Schizosaccharomyces pombe: one gene and its partners. The gene in region 3 interacts genetically with the main gene of each other region. Each region holds a gene or a part of one and is shown on either strand. Other genes may lie near its edges.

Evidence for each region.
Region 1: mutations in pfa3 (region 3) and opy1 together harm fitness more than expected from each alone (negative genetic interaction), as found in Schizosaccharomyces pombe (one large-scale study listed by BioGRID).
Region 2: mutations in pfa3 (region 3) and plb1 together harm fitness more than expected from each alone (negative genetic interaction), as found in Schizosaccharomyces pombe (one large-scale study listed by BioGRID).

What each region holds. Positions count from the first base shown.
Region 1 is NC_003421.2:944,766-951,648, forward strand, and holds the start of opy1 (protein opy1), read right to left. Parts: upstream 1,620-6,883; 5' UTR 1,496-1,619; coding exon 1,376-1,495; exon of another isoform or gene 1,095-1,375; coding exon 1,032-1,094; exon of another isoform or gene 982-1,031; coding exon 906-981; exon of another isoform or gene 868-905; coding exon 107-867; 3' UTR 1-106. Other genes in the region: ade10 (bifunctional IMP cyclohydrolase/phosphoribosylaminoimidazolecarboxamideformyltransferase), read right to left, coding at 3,067-4,824; tRNA (guanine-N7-)-methyltransferase catalytic subunit Trm8, read right to left, coding at 6,428-6,883. UniProt on the Schizosaccharomyces pombe protein: Binds phosphatidylinositol 4,5-bisphosphate (PtdIns(4,5)P2/PIP2) at the cell membrane.
Region 2 is NC_003424.3:1,073,639-1,080,521, reverse strand, and holds plb1 (lysophospholipase 1), read left to right. Parts: upstream 1-3,828; 5' UTR 3,829-3,903; coding exon 3,904-5,745; 3' UTR 5,746-6,191; downstream 6,192-6,883. Other genes in the region: ptl3 (triacylglycerol lipase), read left to right, coding at 1-501; SPOM_SPAC1A6.11 (uncharacterized protein), read right to left, coding at 6,668-6,883. UniProt on the Schizosaccharomyces pombe protein: Catalyzes the release of fatty acids from lysophospholipids. Required for survival under high osmolarity, for normal osmotic stress-induced gene expression, and for nutrient-mediated repression of sexual differentiation.
Region 3 is NC_003423.3:1,700,239-1,706,824, forward strand, and holds pfa3 (palmitoyltransferase Pfa3), read left to right. Parts: upstream 1-4,042; 5' UTR 4,043-4,162; coding exon 4,163-4,390; exon of another isoform or gene 4,391-4,462; coding exon 4,463-5,224; 3' UTR 5,225-5,289; downstream 5,290-6,586. Other genes in the region: mrpl51 (mitochondrial 54S ribosomal protein mL43), read left to right, coding at 1-163, 260-468; cytosolic thiouridylase subunit Ctu2, read right to left, coding at 635-1,735; Sm snRNP core protein Smd3, read left to right, coding at 1,944-1,980, 2,026-2,085, 2,141-2,270, 2,324-2,390; phosphoprotein phosphatase Phs1, read right to left, coding at 2,798-2,874, 2,927-3,463, 3,514-3,526. UniProt on the Schizosaccharomyces pombe protein: Palmitoyltransferase specific for VAC8. Palmitoylates VAC8 at one or more of its N-terminal cysteine residues, which is required for its proper membrane localization.

The DNA of each region.
Region 1 (6,883 bases), on a different chromosome or scaffold from region 3:
CACGAAGGGTAAGGGGAGTCTTATGAAAGGAAATCACAAGAAGGTAGCTAGAAAAGTAGCTGAGGAATCGTATTATGCACCAAATATTTTGATGGAAAAGCCATTTTTAACAAGCAGTAAAAGTACCATTGGCCTTGTCAATAGAAGTCTTAAGTGCAGCAACCCAGAGTATAAGTGAATCTTCGTTATCAACGCGAAATTCGATAGGTTTGTTTTGCGTAATTACGGTAAAAAAGTATTTGTGTGAGCTTTCCGGAACGTTTATTTCAGCAACATCCTGAATGTCGGCTATCGGTATCACTTTAACAGGTTTGTACTCTCGGTTCGTGTTGTAAATAGTCATACCATATCCACGAACAACAGCCCAACACTTGGACCACCTATGTAAATTTCCATGTAGCCAGTGAATGGTTCCTTGCATAAGAACTTTATTTTCATCCAAGAGTTTATAGAGATTTTGTAAGGAAGCCGAATGCCTGTGCTTATTCAGCGTATTAACTTCTTGTGGGTTGAAGGGGTAATTTGCATTTTCTTCATTGATACCTGGTGGTCTCAACTTTCCAAACTGTATCAAATCATAAAGTGAAGTACAGAAATGGTCACCCTGACCAGTTTCCAAGTCTAAAGGAGAAGTCGTTTGATTACGAGGTTCAGTCGAAATATTGTCGAAGTCAGTATCAGAGATCTGAACGTTAGGCTCGCTTTCGGTTCGAGATGAAGAGTTCGCAAGGATATAACTGATAGGATGTCTTGAAAACGGTGCCCTATAACCCGTTGTGGATCTTAGAACATGAACCCATTCCTCAGCATCCTCATTTGAAGTGGCAATGAGACGAATTATCTTTTCATTTAAATACAGGAAAAAAGCTAAACATTAGATATAAACATCAAAAATTCTAACGTACTTTTTGGTGATTTTTCTTTGTAGTAGGCAACAGCTGAAATATCCTGAGTAGGGAAAATAAATTTGGTTTTGTACTCCTTGAAGACTGTTAGCGCGTCGTTGAAATTTGCACATTTTATTCACAAACCTTTTCGTCTTTGTAAAAAGATAACTGATCTCTGCGAAGAACAGCCCATAATTGCTTTTTAGTCTAGGTTGTTAGCATCCACTACAAAAAAAACCATGAGTGCAAATATTGACTCTGAAACGGGAAGCAAATAATTGGAATATTCTGAAAATCAATTGGTCAAAGTGCTTGTAGGGTGCTGTTTGCATCATCATATCCCCAAATCAAAAGCGAACAATAAAGAATTAAGAGTACGTATCATTCACTTCTAAGTACACTTCACAAAATTAAAGAATACTCCAAATCCCTTTCCACTCAAACGTATCGTAAATATTACTCAGACAACTAAGTTAATGAATACATACAGAAGTTGCATGTCCTTTCTTTATCAACCATCCGGATTTTAAAACACGCTCAAGCTCTGGAAGCCTTCTTGCTTCATCAAGGCTAGCAGTTCTGAGATGCGATGAAACTCCTGGGTCCATTTCATCAAGCGAATAGTCAAACTAATAAACGCCTTCTTTCTTTTGAATACATCAAGAAAATTCCTTAAACTGAAAGGTGTTAAACTAGAACGATGTAAAGTCGTCCTCTATACAGATTTTGGTTAAAATCACGTTTCCTAACGCATACGTGTTAGTGGTACCAGCGACGTACATATTCAGTAATAGCGTTCATTAACGTATCGCTATTTGTCAAGTGAAATTAAAATGTATGGTAGAGAAATTTCAATAATAGAAATGATAGTACGAATAAATTGTAGCAGTAGAATTGAGAAGCCTTCTTTTTGAAAAAGGTAGTCTGAAAATATGTCATCTTTATTTTGAGAGGCATACAACCATATAGTACATGGACACAGTAATCGTGTAGAAGTGCTACATCTCGTATACTAATTAAGAATCAAAAGAACTTTTGTAAATCCTACTGTTACAGAAATTCAACTTTAGGTTGTATTGGTGCACAGTGGTAAGGGATTGTTGTAAGGACTGGCAGGATGAAAACAAAAAAGCTATTTAAAGGGAGCACTTGTTCGCTGTAACAAAAAGAAAAGCAACAAGAAAGAAATACTTTTTTAAATATTTTTTAGAGAACCACTTTCTCTAATGTAGAAAGCGTTGGTCTTTCCCATTCGGTTCGAGACCTATGAAAGCTACTCAGTAGATACTGAGTTAGTAGGGAGTAGGGTTTAAACGTGATTTTAGCATGGTTTCTTGGAATAATAATAAAAATTCCCTTCCGTCCTCTATGCCATCTTCTTTATGCTTCACTTTACGTCCAGATAGTTGATAGTTTCCGGTCTTGTAAGATGATTATTGATATGGTAAATCAATCACAATCGAATGAAAGATAAAAGAATAAGAGTATGTAACCCTTTAAGATGGGAAATATATCAAGCAAGAATGGGGTTAAAAAAAAAACAATTTTAAAGTCATTAAATCCTTTTTAATACCATTAAATAGTACTAATTTTGCTCGTGAGTAACTAAGGTCGGGTAGCATAGTTGGTTATTGCGCACGACTGTTAATCGTGAGGTCGAGGGTTCGAGTCCCTCCCTGACCGGATTTTTTATGCTTCAAATCAACTGCAGCAAAAACATACGCTCAATCAATTTAATAGAAATTTGCAAACACCCAAGAACATGTTTAACTCAGTCAGTTTACTGCGAAGCTCACATCCAAAAAGCAGGTTTGATGGCGTTTTCCTTTCTACTTCATATGTTAGCTTAGCAACCAAAAATGCTTTATTGAGCCCGTTATGCTGTGAATTTCCAAGCTTTCGAATAAAATTGTTGCATTCGTGTTAAACAATAAAAAATATTTTCCCTACTATTACTGAAATAAAATGCCTTGAGTATCGGAAATCTTTTCAAAATTCAGGATACAAAAAAGATGCCAAATTTTTTTATATTAAATCAAAAAAAGTAAAAGACGTTGAAGTCTTTATTGTAATACCTCTATTAAATGATGGTATAAACTGAGGAAACCTATCAAATATACAGAACAAAAAAAATTATATCCATAGTAATAGTGGTCAAAAATTAGGTATACAAACAAGATTAATGGTGGAACAAACGCAAGGGGATCTCGGAAAAGACCATGTTGAACTCATTAGCAGTGTCGCGAACAGCTTGATCCATGACACTACCGCCAGGTGCAGCAACATATTTGACACCGCTTTGGGCAAGACGATAGATGTTGTCAGGGAAGGGGAAGAAGGCATCACTGGCACAGACAACATCCTTGCAAGTAGCCAAAAATTCCTCCCGCTCCTTTTTAGTAAGAGGCTCGGGAATAGTCTCGAATGCAGACTCCCATTGCTCACGTTCACTACCTTCAGCAGGAACGGCATCAAGGACGTACAAGTCAATAGCGTTAGATTTCTCAGGACGCTTAGCAGACTTCTTAAATTGCATACCCAAGACTTTAGGGTGATGACGAAGCCACCAGTTATCAGCCTTATCACCGGCCAAACGGTTGCAATGAATGCGGGATTGTTGACCAGCACCAAGTCCAACAACCATACCATTCTTAGCATAGCAAACAGAGTTACTTTGAGTATACTTAAGAGCAGTGGTAGCAATAACCAAATCAATAAGAGCAGATTTGGGTAAATCCTTGTTCTTACTAACAACTTTCTCAAAAAGGCTGAAGTCAATCTTGGCATGGTTGCGATGCTGTTGTAAGCTAATACCGTAGACCTGGCGAGTCTCAATTTCGGCGGGAACATACTTGGGGTCCATTTGCAATACACAGTATTTACCACCCTTCTTCTTCTTCAACAACTCCAAGGCTTCGGGCTCGTAACCGGGTGCAATAACACCATCGGAAACCTCACGAGAGATAATACGAGCAGTGCAAACATCAACTGTATCGGAGAGAGCAATAAAGTCACCAAAGGAAGACATACGGTCAGCTCCACGGGCTCTAGCATAAGCACAAGCCAAAGGAGTGAACTCGGTAATGTCGCTAACAAAGTATACCTTCTTTTCAACATCAGACAAGGGTAGACCAACAGCAGCGCCGGCAGGAGAAACATGCTTAAAGGAAGCAGCGGCAGGAATACCGATGTTTTCACGAAGCTCTTTGACCAAAGGCCAAGAGTTCAAAGCGTCCATAAGATTGATGTAGCCAGGGGAACCACATAAAACTTTGAAAGGAAGGGGTCCTTGTTCCATAAAGGCTTGGGCAGGAGATTGATGGGGATTAGCACCATAACGGAGAGTCAATTGATCAACGCCAGCAGCATATTGCTTGCGGAAGTAATCAGTGATGGCAGCATCGTAAGAAGCAGTAGAAGCAAAGGCCTTCAAAGCATAAGTATTTCTGTCATCTTGAGTAAGTTTGTCTGACAAAAACTTATCAGTGAAAGTCGCATAATCAGCGGGATCGCTCAAAATGGTTACACGAGCGTGGTTCTTTGCAGCGGCACGCAACAAAGTAACTCCACCAATATCAATTTCCTCAACAGCTTCAGGAATGGTAACGTTAGGCTTGGCAATAGTTTCACGGAAGGGATAAAGATTGCAAACCACGATATCGATCTTCTCGATGCTTTGTTCAACGAGATCCTTTTCATCGGAAGGAATATCACGAGCAAGAATGCCTCCATGGACAGCAGGATGCAAGGTCTTTACACGACCACCCAAGATCTCAGGAGCATTGGTGATCGAAGATACATCAGCGACTTCCATTCCACTCTCACGGATCATCTTGGCAGTACCACCACTGCCCAAAAGCTTAACGCCTTTGCTTGTTAACGCTTTGGCAAGTTCTAACAAGCCAGTTTTATCGTAGACACTTAACAAAGCATACATTTTTATCCAAGAATCCCGTTTGCGACCAAACTAAAAGTTTTAGATGTTAGTTCAGCTGAAAATTGCTGCACCCCAAAGTACGACTTTAAGTGTAAGAACTTATTATTCAAAAACACGCTATTGATTGATAACGAAAACCAACAAATTTATAAGGTTTGCTAACAGTCTCTCATTATGTCTGAATTTGTGATAACAGAAGAGTCTGTTACATGTAATAGGGTAATTTTCTTCAATACGTTAGACTACGCTACTAGTTTTGTTCATGTCGATGTTTTGACTTCATATGGAAAAATTCAAGTATTGTTCGAAGCAATAGTGACTGCAAATGGAGTTTGAATGTGACAACGGTTAAATCCACATGCCAGTCTGTTTTGAGTGTTGCTCTTTTAGACCTAACAGGCAATGATCAATCGTGCATGTAGTCAATCACCAAATTCACTTACAGTCATTGTCTGAGCATTTTCTACTAATATCCTAATGTGTTAATCATATACAAAGATGATAATGAAACCGGCCATCGGCTATTGATTCTTGGTTCTCAGAAATCTACAGCTCAATCATGCAATACTGATATTACAGAAAAAAATACTTTCATCGTATGAGCTAACTCACGTAAAATCATTCAATTTTTAGATACGACAACCTCTTTGCTTGTTTATTTTTGAAATACTAAATTGCTTGCTTCAGTCTTTATAAATAAAAGTATAATCATTAGATTTCATGATTAGCATAGAATATAAAAGAAAAACATCACTAGCAAGGAACATTTTTCAAATTAAAATTCAAAAACAAATCGTTACAAAAAGATGCAATTTATAAAAAAAAAATGAAAGTACACACACACGGTTAAAGAGTCAAAAAGAAGAATTTAATTTTATTTTGCTCAAGCTTATAAGAATCTGTAAAAAAAAGTTAGTAAATTATTCAAATAATAAGATTTCATGGAAAAGCACTTGAAACAATAGAAATATTCAGAGATCGGATTTGGCTTCCGGGTCAATCGTCACAGATTTCGGATAGGGGCGACACAAATTGCTCATCATAGTAATATTTTTAACATTGTTTCAGCGTTTTAAAACTCAAGTTGAAATTACTTACATTCTGTTTTGTAATTGACAAACCACCTCTTGTTATGAGCTTCTACTTATATAATCCTTGGACAGTCACAACCCTGCCCTAGTATACTGTTAAAGAATGTCAAATAGTCATTAAAAATTATTGAAATTTCGATCATTTAGGTTATTGAAGTATTATGTAGCAAGTAATAATATAGTATCTTGAAAATACTTAAGAGAGCTGTAGGTCATATTACCGTACAAATTGATTTTATTTCAAAATCCCAAAAATTCGGCACTTAACATGTAAAATTACTCCTTTTGCAAATTTACTAGATTTCTTGTTTTATTTAGCATTCATAATATATTGCCATGGAGTTAAAAGGATAGTTGCAAAGAGCTCTCTTATTTACGGAGCCAGCTTGAGGATAGGTACGGATTTTGTAAATGAGTAGTTAAACAGTAAGTCAATGCGAAAGTGTAATGATGTTAGCGATAAATGTTAATTTAGTTATTTTAAACCTATATTATTCAGCCCAATTATTAAGTTATTTTGGATTTGGAATGCGCTCATAACATGCAACAAATTTCTTTCCGCCATTACGTGCAACCTTTTTCCCTTCCTCTGTTTCGTTTGTCATCAATGTAACACATATATCGTTTTCTTCTTCTTCTTTTGTGAATCGTCGAAACAAGGGATGCGCGTCGAGATGTTGAGCCATCCAAACATGTAGCTCTTCCACGTCTGTAATGGTATAAAGCGTTCCATGGGGTCGAATGAAATAAGCATACTCACTTGCCAAAGTACTTGTGATAATTCTATTTTTATGTTTACGAGCCTTGAAGTGAGGATCTGGAAAGCAGAAAAACATTTTTGAGAGTTGCCCTTTTTCGAAGAAATTTGGAAGGAACTTTTGGCAATTCATACGAAGAACAGAAATGTTTTTGTATCCCCCTGGAACCGGCTCTTCATGATCTGCACGATAACGCAATGCTTGTATCTT
Region 2 (6,883 bases), on a different chromosome or scaffold from region 3:
TGTGTAACAGATGCTCCGTTATGGATGGACGGATCTGTTGATAATGACATTCCGCATGCTAAACTAACGGAGCTGTTCCATGTTAATCATTTTATCGTATCACAAGTCAACTTTCACATCGTTCCGTTTATTATGGATCCAACATCTCATAATTGGGTTGAGCGCTGTTGTAAGAAGGCAATTGATTTGGCTGCTCAGGAAGTTAGCTTGACATTTCGTTTGTTTGCAGAACTAGGCATTTTTTCGGTATTATTCACGAAGCTTCAATCTGTAATCACCCAGAAATATTCTGGAGATATTACAATTATCCCCAGATTGAATTACCGTGAAGTGAATAAAGTCATTAAAAATCCAACTCCTTCATTTCTTTTAGATGCAGCAACGAGGGGCAAACGTGGAACATGGACAAAAGTTCCAGTTACTCGGAACCATTGTGCAATAGAGATTTTAATCGCAGCTGCATATACTCGGTTAATAAAAAGGTCTAAAAGTTTAAAATAATTTTTAAATACCCCGAGTTTTCAGTTTTGTTTTGTTTTTTGTATTTATTGGTTATCTATTGTACATAGTACATAAAAAATTGAAAAGTTTCATGTTCCCAAACTGGTTCTTTAGTGTTATTCTTTTTATTACAATACAACTTGTTTTGCTTTTTTTTTGGTTTGATGATTGCTAACAGTATTTTGAATTTTCCCGGTTTTACAAGATATACTTATTGACTTGATAGTGATATTTTGAATCTTTGGTAAATAGACATGCTATTTGCAAACCGTCTGTTAAATGATAGTATGTGTCGGTGATATTGGAATAATATAAATTAAAAAGTTGAATAGACCAAATTTATTGTCTATATAAAAAAAATAATAATTAATAATTTATAAGTGTTTTCATATATATTTTATTTTATTTTATTGTATTGTTTTTTTTTTTTTTTTTTTAACTTCAATAAAGTTTTTTTCATTCTTACCGTGCTTAATAATTCATAAATATTATTTAATGGCAATTGCATTTTGTAAAACGAATAAACATAATGGCTCATGCTTTTTTTCTTCTTTTCTTTCTTTCTTTTTTATTTTTTTGTTTTTTTTGAAGAAAAGATATAAAGGAGAGACCAATTATTGAAATAACATTTATTTACTTTTTTACTTACCTGCAGTAGCGTTTATAGTATTCGGCGAAAATAGATCGGTTTGTATGAATTCTTAATAGTTTTTGGCTATTCATACCGATTGCAACAAGCTAGAAACCTTGCAATCCATAATCTTAGTAAATTAAAAAGTAAAAGAAAGTTAACTTATTTTTCTTTGAGCATATTCGCTGTGCAGGGTTGGCTGTTACGATGGTGGTCAATCGCACCTGCATATAAGATGAAGTATTGTGTGGTTTTCAATGATTACTGTTTGTCAAACGAGATGCTAATTATAAAAGTAGAAACAATTTATACGTGAACTTAATAAAAAGGAAATGTTTATTATATATTTTTCGTAATGATAGAGTCTCACTAGTAAAAAGAATCAATAAATTTCCCTCGAAAACATCGCACAGTATGCTCTTACAAAGAAATGTGAAAAGAGATAATTTGAAAATGAATTAGTAGTTGTCTTTGAAAATATTTAATATATACAGACTTTAATTACTTATAACATTGCTTAATTAAAAGTGTGCTTTGTGTTTACTAGTGCTCCTAACCAGCTCGCTTTTCCTAAGCTTGTAAATAAAACAAAGTACACTGAATGTCCATTACTCAAGGCAATTGCCAAAAAAAAAGGGCATTAGCAAAAGCGAAAATAAACTTGCCCCACAATTTTGTTCAGGTATAGTCCTAGAACACTGTTCCACACCGGTTTCCTCGCATACACGTCTTCGTTGACTTTCGCTCGCATGCTGCAAATCCTTTTTTGACAAATAGCGTGCAGCATAGCTAGTCCAACGTACGCACGTTAGTTTACGAGCCTAAATGTACTCCACGTCATGGAGGGAAAGGTAACTTGGAAGGTTAGCCCCACACTTTCCTTAACCCCATTATCTCCATTTTTCAATGATGTCAACGTAAAAGGTGGAAGCTCGCTTGTTCCGAATGACGGCGAATAGAAACGTAGAATTTTTCAAACCGTAATTTGATTGGCGGAAGGTTTGGTTTTCATGAATGTTCTCCACACTATGGGAAAACGAGGGGAGCAAAGTGAACAAAATACTGAGAGGTGATTGGATATGTCCCACTTTTTCATGTGATGCTCCTCATTTAACTAATAATTGGTGCGAAAATTTTCTTGCTCTTGCGGTAGACATTTTTGCACTGCGCATGTGTTCCTCCATTGTTCTAGACTGCGTTCCTCTACACCACCCCGCATTTGTTCGTCCGACTTTAGGCTCTTTTCCTTCTTCCCCGCCAAACTTTTGAGCGGATACTTGCCTGATTTCTTACCGGAATGGTGAGGGGCGAACACCTTTAGAATAGTGTTTCAAACACTTTTTTTTGGGTTTTGGCGGGGTTAAACTGACGAACAACGAAGAAAAAACAAGAATTCTAACAATTTACAACAGAATCCGTAAAAAAATTAGAAGCTTGTCTGACCAGCGGTAGTATAGAAGGGTTTAAACGGTGAGTAGAGTGTTTGTATTTTTCCCCAGTGTACCTTTTGCCAGTAGACAAACATCCCATCCTTTCTTGTGGGCAGCGTTATTTTGATGATAACTCTATCCCACTATTACTCCAGTTGCTTGGATACATCGTCGCAGCTCTGGACCAATGTTGCAGTTGCTTCCTAATTTTTAGAGGGTCAGTTGCCGGTACTCACGGGGCCCCAGACATGGATTCTGTCAAGATTGTGGGGTAGATGCAAGTTGAAGTCAAAAAAATGAGAATCAAAAACTTGAAAATAAAATACATAAAATGATTTATTTTATTTTTCTTTGTATAATCCATGTAAAATTATAGACTGTATGCACTGAAACCTTGTTCCGAGCGACTGGTCCCAGGTATATAAGTGGTGCTGGTGCACAGGCATTTTCACCACCATCGCAATCAAACAACTTTCCTTGATCTGTTCATTGTTTCAAAACAAAAAATTCCGTTTTTTGGAATCCCTAATCATCTTCCTTACTTTTATTTAAATCTTAATCCATCCAAGCGAGGAATTTTGCATTTTCCTTTCTTGTGATTGCTCCCTTTTTCTTAGCTCTTTGAAAAATACCCCAAAAAAGAAAACACTAACACTCTTTCGGTTAGAGAGCGTTTTCGCATTAGTTGAATCCAAAAACATATTTTACGATCCAACACTGTGATTTGGCTTAATTTCTTTTTTCAGTGATTCCCTCATTCCTTCATCATAATTTCTCGTATCATCATCACACTTTTCTTTCCTAGTGTATCCTTTGGTGCGATTTCCGGTTTTCTCGTCGTTATTCCTTTTTAATTTTCTCTTTCTTATTACTCACTCAAACAAAAAAAGGTCGTCGTGGACTTTTTAAATCGTTGTACTTTTAGCACTTTCCTACATCTTCCTTTTGAATATTTATTATTTATCCTTTAGGGAAAAGATTTTATTCATTTTGAACCTTTGCATTAAACTTCGTTTGCCAGGTTCTTTCATTTTGTTTTTAGTCCCGTTTTCCTGCCTTCTTTAGTTCTATCTATTGTGGGGTTTGTGTTTTCGTCCACTATTTGCAAATTCTAGGTTTTTGTTACTTTACCACTTTTTCCTCTCCGACTTACGGAATAGTATCAGTCCGAGATCTTGATTGGGTGTCATTCGGAAAGTAATACACTCGTGTGACGTTTATTAAATTTTTTTTCTTATATACCCTTTCCGTCCCACTCCCAACTTTGAACGTTCATTTGGGGATTTAATTTGCATACATCTTTGCATATCTATTCTCAACATTTTAGTTTAAATATTCAAAATGCTTTTCCGCGGATTAAGCCTGTGGATGCTCTTTTTGGCATCCTGCCTTTCTGCCCTTGCTCTTCCCGCTGCTGAAGACGATGGTTCTGTCAAGGTCTTCAAGCGTGCCAAGAAGCATAGCACTAAGCAAGAGGGACCCAGTTACGCTCCTTATTATGTGGACTGTCCCTCTGATAACATTGTCGAGAGTCTCTCCAGCAATGAGATTCCTAGCGCCGAGTCTGAATACTTGAGCACTCGTTCTACTATTACCAACACTGCCATGAAGGACTTCCTTCGTAACGCCAACTTGCCTGGTTTGAATGCCGATACTCTTTCTGGCTCTGAAGGTCCTTCTATCGGTATTGCCTTGTCCGGTGGTGGTTTACGTGCCATGATTTTGGGTTCTGGTGCCCTCTCTGCCATGGATGCTCGTCACGACAACCACACTGTTTTGACTGGTCTCCTTCAAGCCTCTGACTATCTCGTTGGTACTGATGGTAGTGCCTGGACTGTTGGTGGCATTGCTCTCAACAATTTCAGTACCATTAACGACTTTAGCAAACTTTGGGCTTTCAACCACCCTTTGATGTATCCCAAGAGTGCTATTGTTTTCAACGCTCATTTCTACAGTTCTATTATGAATGAAGTTGCCGAAAAGGCCAATGCTGGCTTTAACATCAGTCTTTCCGATTACTGGGGACGTGTGATTTCTCGTACCCTTGGTGACACTACTTATGGTTTCCCTAATGTCTCTTTGTCTAGTATTACTTCCCAAGAATGGTACCGCAATGCCAACTTCCCTTACCCCATCATTACCTTTGCTACCCAAAACTATGGTGAGGATATTAGCAATGTTAACACTACTTTCTTTGAAGCTTCCCCCAACGTTTTCGGTACCTTTGACCATGGAATCAACTCCTTTATTCCTACCGAATACTTGGGTACTACCTTAAACAATGGTGCTAGCAGCAATGGTTCTTGCGTTATCAACTATGACAACTTTGGTTTCATGATGGGTGCTTCTTCTACTTACTTCAACAAGATAATGCGTAACTTCAATGACTCTTCTACCAAGAACGGTCGTATCATCCAACAATACTTGAAAGGTAACTTTTCTGAAAACGGTCAACAAATCATCTCCATTCCCAACCCCTTCCAAGGTGTTGAGAGTGCTAATTCTGATGCTGCCAACAACTTGGGTTCCAGCTCTTCCCTTAACTTAGTTGATACCTTCCTTACTGGTGAGAAGATTCCTTTGTGGCCTTTGTTGCAAAAGGGTCGTGATGTCGATGTTATCGTTGCCGTTGACAATGGTGATGACAGTGAATGGCTCTGGCCCAACGGTAACTCTCTTGTCCAAACTTATGAGCGTGTCGTTGCTGCCCAAGCTGCCGGAAACACCAATGTTAAGGGTTTCCCCTACGTTCCTAGCCAACAATCCTTTGTCAGTCTTCACTTCAACGATCGCCCTGTCTTCTTTGGTTGTGATGGTCGTAACACCACTGCTGGTAACCACACTGTTACCCGTGACACTCCTCCTTTGGTTATCTATCTTCCCAACGTTCCTTACAACTACTTCACTAACATTTCCACTGATCGCACCTACTACACTGAAGACATGATTCAACAACTTCTTACCAACGGCCTTATTTCCTCTACCGTTGACAATGACACCTACTTTGGTCAATGTTTTGCCTGTGCCGTTGTTAAGCGTACTTTGGAGCGTAACAACATCACTGCTAGCCCCGAGTGCCAACAATGCTACTATAACTACTGCTGGAGCGGTCTTTATGATGACAGCGCTGCTAATGATGATATTGTCTACAATCCTACTTGCCGTCTTGGTGAAGGCATTTAAGGAAAGGCGCATGCAAACTTTTCTCTCTTCAGTATTTATACGACATATCTGTTGCTCACAAGCAAAAGATAGAGGGCAATGCTTATGCCTGGAAAAAAGTTTTTAAAAAAAATCTATACAATGTCTGCTGTCTTAGCATAAATCAAACCTAGCCATATATGTGAATCAATCCAATTACGCGATATGGGTTTTTGTTAACGGATTATTAAACTGAACGTTCACTCCGCTCTAATTAGGGAGACTATTTTGTTATCTTCCGAAAGTATTTTATTCTAATTTACCCTCTCTTCGGAATGTTTTTTGTTCATTTTCTATTGTGAGCTTTCGTTTGCTGTAATTCAGTTTTGTTGACGGCTCCAAATTGGACGTGTTCTAGTTGTTTATGAGAGTTGCTGTTATATATAGTTGCGAAAATAAGTCATTTTTTTAATTCTTGGTTGTAATAAGAATGTTGTTTGTCTATATAAATAAGTTGACTGTAATTTTTTTGTTTTGTTTGATTCAAAAAATTATTATTTATATGTATATATTTTGTATGATAAAATTTGATTTTTAAAGGTTTGCTATACTTGAACAAGGAATAGTGAACTTTAACATACAGCCTATAATTCATTAATTAGGATGAGGAAGGAGATGTAGAAATGAAAAAATTTAGTTAACGTAAAACAGATTATACGATCATTTACAAATTATATCAACTGTACGCAATTTAATCAATGAAGTAGTGGGGATGTAGATGAGACAGTATAGAATACATCACAACGAGTAATGGGAGAAAAAAATTGTAGTAGTTGCGCGGGTTTTGCTCGGCCTCGGGCTTTACTTTCTAATCCGATGACTGTGAGTTACGTGTTTTGCAAAATTATTTAGCAAGTGTGCATTTTATGCTTTAAGTCTAAACGAAATGGGATCCGAGTTAACTTTAAGTTGAGGCTTTGCTTTTGATATAGGTATGCGCATGCGATTTACAAAAATCTAATCGAACAGAAGTAAGTATGTGTGTATGATAATAACATTTTGATAAATAAAGAAAACTGGCTAAACATATATTATGTAGAATTGAAAGAGCATAATTACAAGAAGAAAGACACTTGAAGATATGTTGTGATGTCATTAGATGTAGCGACTTTACAAACAT
Region 3 (6,586 bases):
TGCCGTCGAATTGAGTTTTCGTATTGTAATTGGGGTGGAAGCTCAAAAGGCATGAAAGAATTTTTATCCACAAAGCTTGAGTCTTTGGCCAAAGAATCTCAAGATGTGGAATTTCATGTTACAAACCGCCAAGGCAAGCATCCATTAATCCGAGCTTATTACAGTACGTCCAAGACTTTTCTCTTATTATGGTGATCCTCTTAGTTTTATAAATATGAACTCCTTAAAATAGTGTTTTTTACTAATGCTACGATAATAGATACTGGTCGAGAGAAGGTCATTTGTACAAGGAAAATGTCAGCGTCTTCAATATTTCAAAAAGCAATTCTATGCAGAGATAGTGATGGTTTGAAACCTCGCCTCATAAAATATCCTGTTGAGTCAACAAACCCATCCGTTCGTGGTATTTGGAGTCCATTTTCCGATCAAGCAAAGCCCCATGAAATTTATAAGAAAAAGTCCCCTTAGATTCCTCTACAAACTACTTATTATTTCATACAAAAAAAAGAAAATTCAATTTAATCATTTTCGTTATGTTATTATGTCTAACCTTTTTGTCCGAAATACAAAACCCTATCCAAATTTATCTTCCCATAAATACTCTAGTTAACCAGGTAGTAAGTGTACAGATGTATCAAATCCCTTCTTTTTCAATATCAGGAATATGCAACGTCCCTTTTAAGCTTTTTAAAGAAACAGAACAGCCATAGCAAACATTTTGATTCTTAATACCTTCAACGGAATCCGGATGTTCAACCGTAGTTTTTTGTAACCAAGTCTCAGCATCTTCTTGCATTGGTAGATTACAGATGGTACATATGGCTTCTGTAGAAGGCACATGCAATTTTGAGCTCATTTTGACAACGGTGCTAACCAGACTTGGGAATGTATCATTCAGCGATGAGAAATATGATTCTGTAACGCCATGAATAGTATTAGGACGTGCTTCAATTAAGCTATCGCAGAAAGCTAATCCCTTAATGTTCATATACGACTTGAGGTCTGAAGACAAAACTTCACGTAGGGGACGTAGTAGGAAAGTATCGCAATTTGGAAGCTTAGAGCAGACAGAAGTGTACCATGGTATCGCAAAACCTCGACCCTCTGCCACAAGTTCAAGAACTCTTGCAGCAATTGTAGTACCGCTATCACCAAAAACAATGGTATCACAATTTGCCTTCCGGGCATAGGATACTAAAAGCTTATCCCGAATTCGGTAAAGTAAATCTTGACGCGAGGCTAACGAACTAATGACTTCTGGATTAAATTTCTCATTATCTGCGTTTATTTCTATATTTCCTCGTGAGTCTGTAGCAATGGTACGGTTCAATAACTCAGCTTCACCAATAACTTTGAATGGACATTTAGGATAATTTTTGGAAATACTTTCCTCAATCGTTTTTGCAACAGCTGAATCCGTTCCCCACTGAAAATGAACTGCAAGCAATTCATCAAACATAGGCCGGTAATTATCATCTCGATATTTTGATAAATAATTGGCTGTTTCAAGCATTGCCATTGAAGATATACCACCGGAAATAGCCAGCATTGCTCTTTTAGATTTGCGTCCTTGTAAATTGGGTCGTACAAGCTCAAATTGCCGACGAATTTTGTTCTCAATTCTTCTGACAAAGCATGAATCGCAGACCGCATCTGATTTAGTCAGAACTGTTGCCTTATTATCGCATTTGGAACATTTTGAGTCGGCTGAATTGTCTAGAGCCGTGTTCTGCATTTTTTTAGATTTTTCTATTGTTTTTCGAAATGAAGGTCCACAAAGTACTTTCAAAAAAATTATCCGTATAAATAAATAAGTTTAAGAGATACCTATTCTTCTTTCAATTCCAATTTTATGGAAAAAGAATAGTTGGTGGTGCGCAAACCAACTAAACACTGGAATTTTTCATAGTGCCAGCTACTCACACAGTACACCACCATCGACCATGTCTCTGTGTATTAAGTTGCTTCATGAGACCCAAGGTACGATTTTTTACCCAATTTTTTTTTAGTAAAACTAATTTTTAGGCCATATCGTTACGATGGAGTTGGAAAATGGGTCTACGTATCGTGGAAAGTTAATTGAAGGTATATTCATTTTAAAACGATTTCTATTTTGTTATGGTTTACTTACACTAATTAGCGGAAGATAATATGAATTGTCAAATGAGAGATATCAGTGTAACTGCTCGAGATGGTCGTGTTTCTCATTTGGATCAAGTTTACATTCGTGGTTCACACATTCGTTTTCTCATCGTTCCTGATATGCTTAGGTAAGAATTTTTAAGTGGTTGGTTTAATCATAATTTTAACGTTTTTAAACAAGGAATGCTCCTATGTTCAAAGTTGGCCCTGGCAGAAGTGTTCCTTTACCTACACGTGGACGACGATAAAAGAACCGTATGAAAAAGGATAATAGATTTGGTGATTTAAGTAATGAAAAATTCATTTCTACTGTTGCTTTAAAGTTGAAAAACGTAATGATTTTTTAAATATTCAATAAATTAATGGACGCACGTGTTTCTACATTGCATTGTAAGTAGTAAGAGATATTGTGAATAAGCTCTTTTTACATCTTTTCGAAGTACGTTTATGTAGCTGCTGTTTATCGGAGTGATACCTTCGACTTATCTATAGTGACAAATGCTATTACCACTATTTTGTGTTGTTAAAATACATATTTACAACATAAATCTTTATATGCTATACGAATGCAAAAGTTAAGTAAAAAATTGAATAATATGTAATATCCGATACTACAGAATAATAAACCTAACTTATTTTAGCTTAGAAAAAAAAATTAGGTTCTTCTGGCAGCAGCCCGCTTGGAAATCTTTCGACGTTGAGCAAGCATATGTGTATACATAATGTAAAGACCTAGAAAGTTAATAAAGATTTTGGAAGAAAAGCTGGGTTTCACTCAACTTACCAGGTGGATAAATAGACATCAAGATGGGCCAAAGCAGCTTGTTCAAACTCCAGACGTACTGAGCAGCAATCCTACTTTTCAATACTAAAAGAAATTCACTTCCAGCACCGATGGGATAGAGGATTAGGAAGGTATTATAGCGAAGCCATGTTAAGAAAGCAGGGATGTCGCCGTTCAGGTTGAATGCATAAAATGCATAACGAATTATTTCGGTAATGGACCAAGCGATGATCATACTTAAGTATATAGGAGATCCCTCAATAACATATGAAAATGGATAGCACACACCCCAAACAAGGTAAAGTCGAGATGCAACTTGAATGATTGTTGTTAAAGGAGAAGAAGATACTAGTCCAAATATACTGTGGAATACTTCAGCTATTGCCAGAGTTTGTACCCAGCGAACTAAAGTATTTGTTTCATGAAAAACTACGGCTGTATCTTTGGTTATTCCCCATATCAATCCTGTACGAAGCAAAACGCTCATCCAAAGAAAGCAGGAGATAACATTGTATAGTTTTAAATATTGTATTTTTACTATTTTTAACTTTGTTAATAACTGAGATCTATAAAAAATCGAGTCTTACAAATTTTCGACATTTTTGTTGGGATTGTAGTTGGAACAATACGATTTTCAAACGTTTCACTACGCGGCCTCACTTGTATGAGACCATTGTTGGCCAATATTGTTTGTTGCGTTCTGGGGGATGGATAAATTCTTTCTATCAAAAGAATGTATACAAACACTTTACAAACAACTTTTAAAATTCGGATTTGGCTAACATCGTTATGTATTAATGAAAATATCAAATTCGCACAGAATCATAAATTGATCAAAAATAATATCAATCAGATTATTAAAAAATTAAGGTAAATTACATATTCTATAACTAATTGGGTTATCTGACTCGATTGATGATACGTGTCTTTATTTACATTATCAAGTCAAAAAAAATTTACAAACCCCGGGTATTAAATTAGTAATCTGAACCAGTTTAAAATTAGAAATTTATAATTATTTGAAAACATTTTTCTGCTATATGTAATTTGTTTAAAGTACTATGTGCTAGTCATTTCGTAAGAAGAAAGCCTGCTGTTACGGATGACTAACATCCTAGCCACAGCCAAACACTCCTTTCATCGAAAAAAAATTGCAATCACATGTAAGAGGTTTATTAAGGGACAATCTGATTATTATAATAATTATTGATAATTTTGATAGAAGTTATAAAAACTATGAATCTGATTCATAAAGTATCAACTATATGTCAATGTGTCTTGGTAATTCTTGCAAAGTATTGTATGCAAATAATTGCGCTTTCGTTGATGAGTGGTGTTCAATGGCTTGCTTGGGGAATTTACAAAATCAATAAAAATCGTGTAGGGATCATCATTTTGTTTTTGTACATTATGATCGTAACATGTTATGTCCTTACTAATCTTACACCACCAGGCTCTCCATCGGTACGTCAATTTCCTTTAGTATAAATATTATGTGAGTATTATTAAAACAGGAAACTAACTCTTCTGTTTCAGGAGACCTCGTTTGATCCGAATTCTACTAGGCAATATATGACATTACAGAATGGAAAATCTCGATTTTGCGAAAAATGTCAAGAATACAAATGCGATCGATCTCATCATTGCTCGCAATGTAATAAGTGCATTCTTCGAATGGACCATCATTGCATGTGGTTTAAAAATTGTGTTGGATTCCGTAACCACAAGTTTTTCTTCCTGGAGTGCTTCTACTTAAATCTCTACTCCATCTGCGTTCTTTATTCAACTTTTGTTGCCATCACCAAAACTTTCACAGCCGAAGGAGCGAATATTAGTGCTATTTATTTAGTGTTCTGGGGCTTTCTGTTTGCTTTTGCTGTTGGAATGAGCATTGTTATGACTGCCTTTACTTTTTATCATACATCATTGCTCATTCATAATTTAAGCACTTTGGAATCCATGAGCTCTTCATGGAGTCGATATACGCATTCCACTCAACCGTTCAATGTCGGCTGGTACGAAAATTGGTGCCAGATTATGGGGAAATCCCCATTTCTTTGGTTACTTCCTTTTCCCAATTCTATTGGGGAAGGTGTTGAGTATCCATTAAATGCAAATGCTCTCCCTTATTTACCCCAAACAGAAGAGAAGAATGACAAACTCTACAAGAGCTCGGTTCCTGCTAGCATTGCTGGAGCTGAAGGTTGGAGTAGCGATGAAGAGCAATATGCTATGAAAAATCGCCGTTGGAATCCTCATATGGGGCAATATGAGTGGATTGAAGACTTCTTGGTATAAGCCAACGACATTTCTATTTTACTGTTTTCAAGAGTAAATCATCCGGTGAATCAATCTTTTTTACGAAAAAAAATGCTTAATGTTTCTTCCGCTCCTTAATAATCCGTGTTTTTGCCGATTTTGAGTTTTGCCTCCGAAAAAATCAGTTGAAAGCACTTTAGAAAAAAAAATAAGCAAATATGTCCTTTTCGATGATTGCTTGACTACCCTTATGGATTTTTGGAAGTGTTTTTGAATGCTTACTTAGGAGTTTAACACGTCTCGCAATTTTTTTAAGAAAAGCACTCATTGCAAATTGCAACAATCCATTGGATATGACTCGAATTGAAGATTCGTTTGTTTTATTCTTTACAAAAACAAGGATTTCAGCTAGTTTTTGAAAATTTCCCTGCGTGATTAATAGTTTGGGAAAAAATTTTCGTTATCCCTGTTCGACTATTCAAGTATCGCAACCTTTGATCGCTTGAATATGCACTGTAATGATAAATTGTTTATGAGTAATATTATGTATTTAGTTTAACTTGATCAGCATTTTCCATGTTTTTCATTCGTTTTATGTCTTTCCTTAGTTATTTTATTTTATTTTATTTTTTTCGTATTGAATTTTTTCAATGTGAATATATTTTTAATTAATTAATTCAATTCATTATTATATAAGAGTTGTTATTTTATCTCTTATTGTTAGTAACAATATAATATTATAAGTGCTTATGTGCACGTAAATAATAGTCACTTATAATTGTAACCAATGTAATCAGAATGTTCATGCAAAGAAAAGACTCTAAATACTTTCGCATACTTACGATTTCAATAGAATTTTTGCTTAACGAATAGCGCATACTTGATTATGCAGCAAGGAAACCATATCACTGGTGCTCTTTTTTTTGCATTATGCATACAGAGCCAATATCTCGCTAGCTACACTTTTTTTTTAAGATCGTTAAAAAAATACCTAGAAACTGTATTGCGGTTGTCAGTAATTTAATAAAGTAGAATTGATATTCCAATTAAATGCTCTTGCCATTGATAATTAGCTAGACGGAGCGCAACAATGGCTAAAGAAATATTTACTAGACAAATAAATAATATATAAAATTAATTACCCCCATAAATTGGTAGTTTGACAAGCTTTTTATCGCATAAGGTATGTGTGGACCGACAATTGCCAGGAGATGAAATCACAAAATGTTTATCTACGAATTTAACTGCTATGATAGGTTTGAATACGTAAAAGTAATCGCTGGAATTTTCCTTCTATATTTCATAGATTGTACAACATCATGGCGTTCATTCACGGCGATACAGCCATAATTCTGTAGCATCATTTCGTGTAGGCCCATCATATAGGAAGTAATTTCCAAA